2 linked regions of the Tribolium castaneum genome follow. The protein of the gene in region 1 interacts with the protein of each later gene in a pairwise test. Links are inferred from orthologs where the notes say so. Each region holds a gene or a part of one and is shown on either strand. Other genes may lie near its edges.

What was found.
Region 2: the proteins of Ubx (region 1) and tup interact in a protein complementation assay, tested with the Drosophila melanogaster proteins (2 studies listed by BioGRID). The link is inferred for Tribolium castaneum from reciprocal best matches to the Drosophila melanogaster genes Ubx and tup.

The regions. Positions count from the first base shown.
Region 1 is NC_087397.1:7,099,686-7,107,272, reverse strand, and holds the start of Ubx (ultrabithorax), read left to right. Parts: upstream 1-3,586; coding exon 3,587-4,223; intron 4,224-7,587. UniProt on the Drosophila melanogaster protein: Sequence-specific transcription factor which is part of a developmental regulatory system that provides cells with specific positional identities on the anterior-posterior axis. Binds the consensus region 5'-TTAAT[GT][GA]-3'.
Region 2 is NC_087396.1:24,299,790-24,306,576, reverse strand, and holds part of tup (tailup), read left to right. Parts: intron 1-4,723; coding exon 4,724-4,916; intron 4,917-5,180; coding exon 5,181-5,488; intron 5,489-6,787.

The sequences.
Region 1 (7,587 bases):
TTGGTAAATGGATACGTCAATAATTTAAGAGTTAGGTTTCCCAACAATTTCTTAATAAGTTACCGGAGTTGTTGAAATAATCCGGTGCTAAGGTGAAAGTGCGCTTTAATAATAAGTAAGTTCTTTAGGGCGAGTAAACACATAACTGGAGCTTATTTCGTAACCTTATCGCAAGTAGAAACATTTGTGCCTCATTTTACAAGCCGTTCCGTGCAGCAACGACTTCTTATAGACCATAAAACTCCCATCGTATTGATTGTAAATGTTTTCGGAATATGGTAACTGCGCTTTTGCCACTTAGTTCCGCTACTGGCTGCTAGAGTGCGTCCGCTCGAAGCTCTCCGGATTTTAACCGGACGACCTTCATTCCGGATTTTTCTTGCAGGTAGAGCTGCAGCATCCAACCGAGGCAAAAACTATCTCGTTAGCTTTACAATGGTATAATTAACTTAAGATGAAAATTGCAATGGTGCACTTCCAGAGCGTTTAGGGGGAAATTAGCCTGATGGAAAGCGGAATGATGGCGCTGGGACGAGATGGGTTATTATCTGATAAGAGACGAGGATTACACGGATAAAAGTAATTGCTCAAGAGCCGCCAATCATTTTTCTAATCTGGGATCGAGTAAATAACACCTTTAACACCTAATTCTGTCTTCTAATCAAAATTCGTGCGTTTAGAATCTGTTTTACATAATAATTATAATAATTAGGGCACGGTTTGATAATCTCAGGCAAAATTAGGATTTGTTGCGAGATCACTCACACAAATAAATGGGTCCAACTTTGACCATATAATAAACTATTCTTATGGCTGTAATAACTCATCATTATCTTGGTTAAGGAAGGACAACAAACATAGGATAAGCCTCCGAAAGAACGTTAGTTATGGGTCCAGCTTCTCGAACGAAGTTTTATCAAAATACTAGTCATTTAATTAATTAATCGGTTTTCAAATTTTTCACCTAACGCATCAATTCTGAAGTGTGAACTGTCTAAGGACTTTAACGATTTGCGGTGGTAATAAATTTTTCGCTAGGTAAATAGACTTTGTCAGTGAAAGACGTCGTGGCCGCCATTTTGCACACAATGACAAAGCTTGAAAGCTCCGTTTTCTCTATTAAAAAGTCTTGGCATTTGAAATAAATATTTCAGCGGCACGTGTGCGTTGAAATAAATTTCGTTTTTGAAAACCATCCACATAACTGTTTATGTAATGGCTCCATTATTATTCACAAGGTTTATAGTTGATTAAGTTAGCAATGTAATTCTGTGGGACGTGTTTTACATCAATATTTTATCTATTTTATCTGTATACTTGCGTAAACAAAACATGTTTCTCCTTACCTATATCTTGGCGAATAATCGTAATAATTCCGGAAGCCGTCCGCTGATCGTTTATTTGAAGAATCTGTGTTGTATAGTCACTTAAAAATAAATAAATCTCGGAATGAGAACCATGCCGAAACATAAAATTAATTATAATTGTTTATGGCGTTCTAATGTTATGTAGATTGGTTTTATTGCAACATAAAATTAGTACTTAAGCAGGAAAAAGTATCAAATTATAAAATTATCACTCAGGAATGACTTATCTTTGGTATAAAACACGTAGAACAAACCTACCGGCTATTATAGTAGCTATTATGTGCTCGTAAAAATACAATAAACTTTCGTTCGGCCAAATTCATCCTTATGTCGAGAAGTGTTTGGAAAGTGTCAAGTTCGGCACTTTCAATATGCAAGGAGGTAAGACAGCAATAAAAGTTGATTTTATTACGATTTGAGTGATCGTAAATGTCACCTACGACCATGGCAAAATTATGACACCGCCACTCCATAAAGTGCCAGGAGCGTGCCAATGCCGTAAAATTTTTACTACTGGTTTGTGTAAACTGTAATAATCTGGCCTTTTTCCGTCCCCGCCCTCGGAACCTCAACCATTCAGTAACGACAAGAGGATAAGAGCAAAAGGGATTTATTTAAACACCCGGACGGGCTTTTTCCTATTTTGTTATTGACGACTCATTGTAGTATATACTACCTATTATCAGGATAACATTAAATTATTATTGGTTGTTAATAATTTTACTGTTTACTGAATAGAAATTTATTACATTATTATTTGTTTTTATTTGTTTGAAGAAAATATTTATACATACCTAGATCCTAGATCTACTATTGTTGGGAGATTTTTGTAGTTAGAATAATTCCAGTAGAGACACTTCTATAATTTTTTTGAACTAATTAATCCGTTTGGAATGGGGTACGAGTATTTTTCGATGAGATTTGATTTGGATTAGGTATGTGCACGAAGAAAAAACGGTCCAAAATAATTTAGTTTTATTAGTTTGAATGTTTTTCGGGCAGTAAAATTTACAAAAGCACATTCATTCAAATGCAATTTAAGTTTATTGTATTTTGGGAACACAGAAAAGTAGGTACATTAAGGTAGTATATTAAAACCCTTACTCGAAAATGAGCAACAATTAACTTTAGCTTTGGTTTTTATACCGACATGGTACAGTGTAAGATGAAGTCAAAAAAGCGAGAATGTTTTAATAGGTACCTGAAGCAGTAACAAAGGGCTGAATGCATACCGCTCTTTATACAGCCTAAAAACATTTAAAAAAATGGAGTGTTTCTTTGATTTTAACTTGTTTAGCGGTTGGAGTCTGATTTGTTGCCTAAAAAATCAAGTGCGATGAAAAGTTACAGAACAAGATCTTATCTACCCGTCGTCAATAAATCTTACTGTTTTAGTTGAATATTAATATAAAATTACGTACTGTTTTTAGAAATTGTGAATTTAATTGTTTTAACAAACCAAATAGACATTAAAATTGTGATGCAGAATGCAAAAAAATAATAAATAAAATAAGCTTTCCTTTTTGTACTTTAACGGTGAATATATTGAGGGTTTGGCAGCGGAATCAGAGTATTTTAAATGTAGCGTTTACTTTTCGATGATTTTGTTTATATTGGTGGTGTGATGGTCGTTTTATCTTTTATTGGCAATTGATGTTGCTCGTTTCGGCAAGAGTGTCGTTTTGAAAGGTTGAGCAATTGTCCGAGAGCTGGCGCCACGCGCCTCCCCTCTTCGTCTCGTTGGGGGCCACTTGCGCAATGCTTGAAGGCTGTGACGAATTCAATTGCTATTGGTTCATGTATGATCCCTTCCATTAGAGCGTCTTCGTGTAGAAGCACGTGCTCTAGGGGTTATTACGGCCTTCGCGACCCTTCTGGAGGAAACCTAGCCTTTGGAGAAGCCGGTCAGGCGCTAATTAGGTGCGACCGTGTCCGATCGGCCGACAATACAGGTAGCTGCAATAATGAGCCGCGTGCTCGTCCGGAGTGGGGGGAGAGGGGAGCGATGGGCCGGGATGTGTGGGCCGGAGCAGACTCCGGAGCTCCAGTGGGTTCCCATCCGCGAGCAAAGTAGCCAACGTGTGCATTCCGGAGCGAGCTGCTGTGTGGTGTGCTCGTGCGAGCTCTTATCACCTTATCACTCTCGCTAATAACAATAATAATAATCGTGTGACTGTCATGTCCGGTTCCGGTGTCGAGTGACTTGTGCCGCCCCCAGCATGAACTCTTACTTCGAGCAGAGCGGCTTCTACGGCAGCCACCACCACCAGAGCGGGTCGGTGGCGGGCCACCACCACGAGCAGTCGGCGGCGGCGGCGGCGGCCTACCGCTCCTTCCCGCTGTCGCTCGGCATGTCCCCGTACGCCTCCAGCCAGCACCACCACCACCACCTGCAGGCGCGGCCCCCGCAGGACTCGCCGTACGACGCCTCGGTGGCGGCCGCCTGCAAGCTCTACTCCTCCGAGGGCCAGCAGAACTCCAACTACTCCTCCAACTCGAAGCCGGACTGCTCCAAAGGCAACGCCGACCAGAACGGATACGCCTCGGTGGTGGCGGCGGCCGCGGTCAAGGACGTTTGGCAAAGTGCGACTTCTGGCGGTGGCGCTAATCTCACGAACAGTTTGACGGGGCCGGTCAGGCCGGCGGCATGCACGCCGGACTCCAGGGTTGGCTACGGGTCGGTCGGGCTCGTCGGCGGAGATCCGGCCTCGAGTCCGGGGGCGGCCGCAGGACGGACGGGCAACTCGCTCTCGTGGAATAACCCCTGCAGTATCAACTCGACCTCTTCGCAGCCCGTTGGCACGCAGATACACCAGCAGACCAACCACACGTTTTACCCCTGGATGGCCATTGCAGGTTGGTGATAGGTCTAAGCCTACGGACTCCTGCTGCGGACGCTATTTGCAGGAAACGCGCTAACTCCGGCCGAATCGCACGCCGTTCAAACGTGCACCACACTGTAACATTTCAAAAGCACAAACCAAAAATGTTTCATTCATTGCTGTGACACTAAAAAAATGTCATTTCAAAATACCAAACGTGAAAATAATAGTCGTTTCTAAACACATAGTGCGAATCAAAAGTCAAGAATAAATTTTTTTGGCGGGAGATTTTTTTAAAAATTTCGAGCAAACTGTTTGTTTCCGGGTTTTTATTGTACCTACTTTTTGGACCACCACGGTTCAAGTTACGATTTTATTAACTAGTTATATTTAAAGACAGTATGTTTAGTTACGACTTTTTTTATTTATATCTCCATTAAAAAAATAATAGTTAATAATAATTAATTAAGAAACGAACTTTTTACATAATAAATGTTCTAAATAGTTTTGCCGAAAAACAGATTTTTAGTAAGTTTGTAAACGATTTTTTAACTGAATATCTTTCTAGTCGTCCGGAAAATGATTTATATTAATGATTAAATAAATTATTTATCTGTATCTATTTTTCCTAAATTTCTGGTGGGTATTCTTTGATTCAAAAATAAATTTCTTGGCACAATATGACGAACCGTTTTATTTTATTATTTGTGATTCATCTTCGTCGTCTGCTTCCTCTATTTTCTAAAATTAAAATTTTATATAATTTCAGTCGATAGTAAAGTACGTTAAATTAGTAATTTATTTGGGAATGTTAAAGTTGCCGACGTACAACACCATAAATTTTGTTTATTTTTTCAATGATTTGTCATTCATAATTTGTGCCTTATTTATTGCCGCTGGAACTACTTAATTATCTATTGCAAAATAAAATAAATTTGAATAAACAAAATTTTTTGTGCTAATTGTTGCCCTTTGGCCCGTGCGCGCGATGTCCGCACCTCAAAGTTATGTAAATGTTGAACCTGCAGCGAAGTCAAGTGCGTGTAAAATCAGGGTTGAATTGCCACATCTCTGTCCCTCAGTCGAATTTCTCTGTTCTCGTCCTCGTCGAACAAATCGGGTCCTTGTCAGAGCACGAGGGACGATCAGCTGTTCGCCTATTTGGCCGTCTAGACGCCTTTGAAATGAGCACGTCCTATATTCCCGTAAAAAAATCGTCCGCTTTGACCAAAATAATCCGTGTTTTGAGTTCGGCGTTCGTAATTCTCAAGTCTTGGGTCAATGGAATATAATTTGGTTAAGGTCGTTTCATATTTCGGGAGGACATCGCTAACGAGCCGACAAAAAATTTCGTTCGGTCGTTATTGCGAGACGCTCTATTCATACGCTGGAGAGTAATGAGTTGATGGCGAACTCTAATGTTCAAAGGTATATCTTTTCGAAATTACTACAACGTCGCTGAAGAATTATTGATTGAAGAAGCGGCTGTGGTTTTCACGGGCCGCCGATTGCTTAAATTGTTTTTATTTATAGTTTGATTTATTAGCGCTATTGCCGCCAACGCACGATCTACTACACTTATGTTATCGCGCTATACAGGGAGGACGATTAAAAGCGTGTTCGGAGATGATTCCGACGGATTTTATTTATTAGAGAAACTCGTATGTCAAAGTTCAATCTTCTATAACAACATCATAAATTCGCAAAATTTGCATAAAGCTACAACGTTCTTTTATTTTATTTCATTTTATTAACATAACAGGACGGAAATGGGAAAAGTACCAAAATTTTTCAAATTTTTCCTGACTAAAAAAAATTGGCAACTGTAACATGATCCCATAGTGTTGGGCACGTCACTCAGATGGCGCCCTCATCCACTTTCATAATTTAACCAGAGGGGTCCGTCAGGTACAAGGGGCCGACCCTCGCCTGTTCAAAAAGTGCCATTCAATATGAGCGCTTCCTTATTTTTCGTATAAGACTTTGAGAGCGTTCCACTCTGTATATTTCCTCATTCACATGATAATTCCTTCGTCTACCGCGCCGGAGTCCCGGACTTGTCCCGAATTGTGCCGGACTCAGTCCGGATGAGCGATGACGTATTACCGTGGCCCAGTCAGTTACACCCCCTTTTGTATTTTGCTCGCTACGGACCGCACCAAAAACATTTGCTTGTTTCTTCCACCAAGGTATTAGCGTAGGTCAGGTGTCTCATTCGGGGATGTTTCACTGTTTCTCGTTCGACTGTGACGAAATCGGCACCGATCTGAAACTGATAAACGGCCAAGTGAGAATGATTCATAGGTGGACGAAAATGCACCCGACGGGGGTTGCTTTCGGACGAACGCGCCTTCTTGCCTCCACATGAAACCGCATCGATTTTTGCCGTTTCCGGAAACGGCAGTCAAAAAGGGCTAATTTTAAAGCGTCGTCTTAGTGGGTGTTTGAGGAAAATTAGATTGTTATGCATGAAGTGTTTGTATTTATGGTTGCCATTTCTCTATTTTTAGTTTATTGATCATTATATTTATATGGATATATATTGATATAAATAAACGCTGATTTATGGAAAGTTGTTATTCATTTTTAGCAAAAATGAAACTAAAATTGCATATTGCGTGTGGTTACTACATAAATTTCGTATGTTAATACGAAACTGTATATCGCTTTAGGAGACAAGTTGAAAGTATGTCTTCTTAGACATTGTGATTCATTTTTAATTAATGGACGCAGCTTATTTGTTTTTCTCATTAATTATTATTAGAAACGTAGAAGAAGTTGGTAGCTGGCAATTTTTGCTTTGAAAACTCTAAAACAATTCATTAAATCGTGTAAAAAATGTAAATTTTATTTTAACTAAACCAAGCTTACACCTACTACTGGAATTATAGTCCAGAAACAACTGGCAGTAGTTGATATAAAAGTGTACAGTCACCCGAAATGAAAAAGACGCGTCCATAAAAAACACGCCTACCGTACATTTTTTAATCAGATTTGATCAAAAAACGCTAAGATCCAGAAAATAAATCTAAATTGGTGGCATTTTGACAAAATGGGCTTAAAAATTACAAAAATAAATTGAAACTTTCTCTCCAAGTTGTTTGTTTTTGGGTAAGATTTCGTCAAGAGTAGACTGAAAGATGACAAAATTCGGTCGCAAAAGGAGTTATTTTTTACTTTTTTAAAGCCTTTAAATACGGTTTTTTATTTATTTAGGTAGGTACTTCCAAAATAAACCGAGCCAATAAAACACAAAATCTGAAATTCAATTCATTTATCATTTTGATGCAAAAACATTATTCCGTAAGAATTGTGAAGAATAAAAATAATTGTGGAAGATTTTAATTAATCTTCAATTAATCTTCAAATGAATTTGCAAACAACATTATTTTTTGGGT
Region 2 (6,787 bases), on another chromosome or scaffold:
TTTTCTCCAGCAGACTTTCGTTCTGGTTCTTTTGCAGCTTTTTTTTGTTGTTGAACCTAAATCTTGTTCTAAATTTGTTGTTGAAAATTAGTTTGTTTGTCTATATTTCTGTAGAAAATAGAAACATCTCAGTATAGAATTTGGTGTCCAGATTTTTTCGTACAGTTTGTCTTAATTTGTCACTAAGTAATTTTTTAAACATTCTTAGAGAGATACTTTTTCCAACTGAAAAGTAGAAACATTTATAGACGGTAAATAAAAAAATCCGATGTATCTAGTGTTTTTTGAAACTAATACTAATAAAAAAATGAAAAAATATAAATTAAACATGAGTTAGTTTAAGAATTTAGAAAAAACAGAAATTGTGTCAAATGTTTAAACAGATTTCTGGTTTGAAGGAGTAACAAGTGGAAAAGAATCGAGTCGGGATTTAATTATCCCTGTGCTCTCCTTTTGGACGTTTGGAGTCTCGAACAGCTCATTAGTGACTTTTCTGATTTGCATGTTGGCCTGAAATGATAGTCTCCTACCTGCGCTCGAATAAATAAACTCCAACATGTCGCTAATTGTTTACTTTATCTTAACTTATGATCTCCGAATTGTCCACATTCCCGACGAGCCGACTCCACTCCGTTCGGCACTCTTTTCTTTATAACCCCATCACCTACGATGCCTGCAAATGATTGCCGTAAATCCTCACCTACACCCGACCAACACAAAATTGGGGGTTTTAGTACTGACAAAACAAACGGGTCCACAACGATTTTTATGTAATTATTTAGTCTAAGATAGACATTTTCACAGGGTTTTTCGTCTGGAAACAGCTCCGAGCTTTCGCATGAAAATGCAGCGATTTACATTTGGAATACATTATTATAATTCAAGTGTTCCAGTTTTGTAAGTCAAGTGTAAACAATAATAAGGTAATCCAGTTTAATACGTAACCACAACCGAATTGTAAATTGGTTATTTGTAATTAATTACAATTCCGCTTTGAAACAATATCATATTTTTGTTACAAATTAATAAAAAAAAAACTTTTAATAAAATTATACAAAAGTTCAGACGAGCTTTATTATGTAAAATTTCATGCTTATAATTCTTATTTAGGTGGCTCCTAGGTCTTAGCTATTTTGCATAATCTTGGAAAAAATAAAGTTTTTGAATTCATATCAAAAACTGAAGTCCTAGACTAAAAGTAAATGAATTAAACACGTCATTTTTATTAATAGCCACATACCAAAAGCAATTAAAATTATAATTATGAATGGAGGTAAGCACTCGGAAAGAATATTTATTTACCTACAACAGTTTCACAATTAACGATCATCTTTATTGTTCATCTTAAGTGAAGCAATTTAAGCTTTATCTTAATTTATGCAACAATTATATTCATATTAGTGGTTGCTTATTTTTCGTTAATTTTATTCATTATTCTCCAAATAAATTTGGCTTAGACACAGGCTGTAGTAAGTTAGTAAATGTTAATTTCCTTGCTTGAAGCCAAAAATGTGCATTTTGACTGAAAAACGTGTTGTTTGCTGGTCCATCCTGTATATAAATTTCTCAGTTTGTGGCGCTTACTCATGGCGTGTAATTGCCTTTGGTTTTTCGCGAAATAGCCGTTAAATTCATAATCGGCACCGGTTTTTGTGCGGTAGTAATTGCAAATTAAATCCTTCCCATTTTCGAACGTGATCAGCAGAATGTGATTTTTTAATTTTGCACACATTGCGGCGCTGTTAATTGTTCATATGCCAATTTAATTAGTTATTTTTGTTGGAGATGTGCAACGTAACCGGTGTAAGCTGTAATTAAACCATCCACTCACTATAAATATCGTTCCTTCAAGGAGAAGAGACTTACGAAACTCACTCTTGTAAATGAATCTATTCTATTATGTATTATTAGCGTGGCGGATGACTTTGCTTTTTCCCTCATACTTGCGGCTTTTTTACTATTTAAATTCAACGATTTGTGGCTAATGCTACGAGAAAACTTCCTGCATTGTTTTAATTAGTGCCAGGTAATCAAGAAGTGTATGGCGGACAAATTACTGCATCAAGCGCGCATTTCGAAAATTATGCAGTCTTTTGTGTTTTGTGTTCACCCTGTATTTGAAGATTCCTTCAAACACGTTTCTAAGATTTTTATGATAATTAGATAGATCTTAAAATCTTTATTAATAGAAAGAAGTGCGTGTTCGCAATGTAATTGCGCGCTTAATAGTCGTATTAATTAAGCATTATGGTATGTACACATAATAATACCTCCAAAGTAATCTCTAGATTTACTTAAAATATGATAAAACTAAAATAAAAATCCAGTTACCCAGTTATTTTTTTATATTTTTTCTTGTGTGAATTAAAAGCCACACTTGTAACAAAATCTCAATTGAAGCAAATGATAAAAAAATAAAAAATCCAGAAAATTGCAAAATTGCAGCAATAGTTGTGTGTTTCTCTGATTTGGCAAAATGAGCAGCAAACGTCCTGTCCACAATTTATTGAATCTTGGCTTCCGTTCCACCGGAAATGGCATTAGCTTTGTGCTTTGAGAAATTCCTTGGTCCTAAATAAATTTTCGCGCTAGATCAATCGCTGTTGGTCCTAATGTAAGATCCGCGTTAACAGAAGTCATCTAAATATTAGTGGCGGCAACACGTGTTTCCATCAATATTTACTGGCGGAGTGGAAAAGCGACGATGCATTAACTCTGCTTGTATGAATGTTTATTTCTGTTAGTGTTGCTGTCAACGCGTTAAATGCATCACATGAACACATAAACACGCAACTTGCTCTCTATGTGAAATTCCTGCTAGCCTGCCTCACATCCATCATACGTAAACTAACGCCAGCACTTGGGAATTTGATTTATTCGGGGTGAGCCTTTCGCCTGCTGATGATGATGATGATGATGGCTTGAAAGTTCGACGAACGACGGGATCGTGAATGGGTCAAGGTTTGCGAATGAAAAAAAAAAAGTGTTTTTCACAAGCCCACCTGTAACTCGTCGGTGGTCAGGGGGCTGTCTGGACACCCCGCAGTTCGCACTGGGGTGTTAATAGGCACCGTCTCGCCGACTTGCTACCGGATGCCAGCTTTTCTGACACCGCCACTGACTTTACCTGGGCAATTAGCGCCCAAACGGCTACACTCATCTCTGTTTGCAGACACTTTATAGGGCTCCATTGTTTACCTGCTCTACCACCCCTGATCACACGAATTAATACCACCAAACCTCCCCCAAATTATTCAGATTGATAAAACTGGCGCCGAAGCTTTGCCGGCGATTTATTACTTCTGGCACAGTCATTTGCTTATTTTTGGTATAGGCCACCTCAAACCAAAATTTGGAGGAATTTTTGGTATCAGTTACTCTGAAGCAATAAGAATTTTATTTGAACCCTCTAGAAAGAGTAAAAAATGTTTGCCATCAGTTGTTATACTCTGTTTTTTTCGAATTTATCAAAAGAGGAAAAGCGTTAATTAAACTTAAACATCCACCATTCGTTTGTGAGTTGTTTTAAAAATTTGCCTTCTTATTCTTATATTATATTATATTATATTATATTCTTCTTCATCTTCTTCTTCTTTATTCCACTAGGTTTTCCGCAAATTATCTGTTGCTTAGTTGTAATAAATCGAAACGGGGTTTGCTCTGAATGTTACTTAAACTCTTAAGTTAACTGTATTAGGTAAAAAATAAAACTATAGTAGATAATCTGCTTTTTAATATCAATAATTCACCTTCCATACAACTTGAAACAGTTATTTAATAAACCAGTTTATTAATGAAGGCGATCAATAAACTAAACTGTTTAAAGCACGAACGAGCGATAGCGAGTGAGTGCCTTTAATAGTTGAGTTTATTAATTGCCCATTATCAAACAAATTTTTTTTGACCGTAAACTTTTTTTGTGACAAAATTGGAAATTAATTACAAACCAAAACCAGTTTCATCTTTTTCATCGCACAACAATTACGAATTATAATCATTTTTGACAATTTCGGAAACATCCGAAAAATATAGTAAATCTTGACGTTTAGAACAAAAACAATGTATTTGTTCCATTTTTAAATTTGAATAATTGTAATACCGTGCGTTCAAAAAGTCGTTAAATCAACTCTTGCTGTGGAATTTAGATTGACAGATTTTTATTGTCTTTGACAGATTATCGTTTTATTCTGTTGCGATTTTCTCCAACGCCAATATTTTCGTATGTAATAATCGTAAGAAATCAACATACGTCTAAAATTTCACAGCAAGGTTGATCCAAAGACTTTTTGAACGTGCTGTATTAATAAAATTATTATAAATAATGATAGGTACATTATTAAAATGTATGATGATAGTCCTCATTGATTTTTTATTTGTATGAATATAACTGGTTGTTTATATTAAAATATCATCAAAATTATTAATATAGTATTAATACAGTAAAACCTCTCAACAACGGACACCGGTGTGGAATCTTAAATTGTCCGTTGTAGAGAGAATTTTTTTACATTATTTTCCGAGGCTTTTGTTACGATTCTACAGAAATGTCCGTTGTGAGGAGGATGTTGCTGTATATCCTTTTTGAAACAAGATAATAATGGTTTCAAAATATTGAAGGACTTTTGAGGGGATACTTTTTTATTAAAGTAGTTAACAGTGAGTGATTTTTGATTTTAAAAATAGGCTTTCGCAAATTTTTTTAAGTAGTTTATTTGATTTCCAGAAAAGCCCCGCCGGCTGAGCCACTGCGTGGGGTGCGGTGGCCAGATCCACGACCAATACATCCTCCGGGTAGCTCCTGACCTGGAATGGCACGCAGCTTGTCTAAAATGCCAGGAGTGTCGACAGTTCCTTGACGAATCCTGCACATGCTTCGTGCGAGATGGTAAAACCTACTGCAAGCGAGACTATGTGAGGTTTGTAAAATTAAACTAAACACAACACAACAATTTTCCCTTCATTGCTTTCCTTTTTGCCACCAACAAGACCTCCAAAGTCGTTGTTTATCCACCCACCGCAGCTGCTGCTTATCAAAGTCAAATCAGCGGTGATTTTGGCACTCCGGTGGCCCATATGTGACTTTTCCCTCTTAAACAAACCGAATCTCAAATTACACACGTCCTGACAGAGTTCTTGCCAACCACACACAGTGGGTCAATTTTCTTTTCTCGCATTTCCAGGTTGTTTGGGGCGAAGTGCGACAGGTGCGGGTCGTCGTTTAGCAAAGATGATTTTGTGATGCGGGCAAAAAGCAAGATTTATCACATAAAGTGCTTCAAGTGTTGTGCTTGTTCACGACCGTTAGTACCTGGAGATGAGTTCGCGTTAAGAGACGGTGGAAATTTGTACTGTAAGGAGGACCACGACCACATGGAGAAGACGTCCATACCAACAACGCCACATTTGCCCTCCACCGAAAGTAATAACAACACCAGCTTGAGCAACAACAATCACAACAGCAATTCCACGGAGCTGGGCTGCATGTCAGGTAGGGATTTTTGATTTTTTATTTTACAGTTTTATTTAAAAAGGTTTCAGTTTAAGAATTTTTAACAAAGAATACTAATTGACAACAAAATTAAACAAAAACTAAGAAAAAACAATGATCATCCTTTAGAAAATTTATTTAAGAGCTTTTTCAGTGTCTTTTTCGTCTAGAATTTTTTGTTGATAGTCTTAAATCCATTGAAACATAGAAAAATTCTTTTTGGTATTTTCTTTAAATTCGATATTATTTGAAAAGTTGTAAAAGTCGATTATTTTTTCGACTTACGTAAAAATAACTCTTTACATAATATACGTGCTCGAAATTCAAATGCGCTTCAGTTTGATGTTTTAATTCTATTCTAAAAATTTACAGCGAGTTACAACGAAAAAATGCGAATAACCAAATTTGTTAAAAATGTTGTTCCCATTATTTTTGTATGATAAAACTCCCCCTGTTTATAAATTGACATTTCTGAAGTAAAAATAATAAAAAACTTGAAATCTTGAGCAAATATGCTGTAATTTTATTTTAGTGTTTAAAGTACTCGAATTTAAAGTTTTCGAATAATTCGCGAAAGCAAGTCAGTTTCCACTGCATTCCTTTTAGAAGTTATGTCTTTAATACTCGTACTTACTTATTACTTAACAGACGGTAGAAGACGGTATTTAAGATTTGCAAGGATTTTTCCACAATTTTGTGATTTAAGAATATAAATTGTTGAGTTCATTTTATTTTATTTTATTTACCTTACAAAAACTTTTATTCTGCTGCGGAATATTTGAAATGTGACTTGATTGATTGTAAGTGTTATCATTAGTTATTAAAATTCTATTTTTTTGTCTTTTTTTCTCAAGTATTTTAGCGAAAACTGTTATACCTAGTCGAACCGAAATCAGCATTTGAATTTGTTTCTACCTTTCGTTATAACTAAAATTAATTTATAAAAAATACTAATATCTAACAATAAAAAAAATATGAACGATTTCATGATTTTAAGTGCTATTTTAAAACAACGATGTTTAATGATGTTTTTAGTAAAAATTTATAATAAAATTGTTACCTACTACCTACTTATTTGAAGTTTTAATTTTACTTAGTTAATTATTTACAAAATTGTGTATAATTATTGTTTTTGAGATATCATAAAAATATACCTACTTTTAACAGATTAACTCTGTACAATATAAAGCGTCCGGCAAAAGTATGTACTTTAGTCTTTTTTTTACCTAAACTGTTTATTTTAGTTAAATCTACAAGTTTTTTTATATGGCTTCTCTGTGTCTTTGGATCCAATCATTT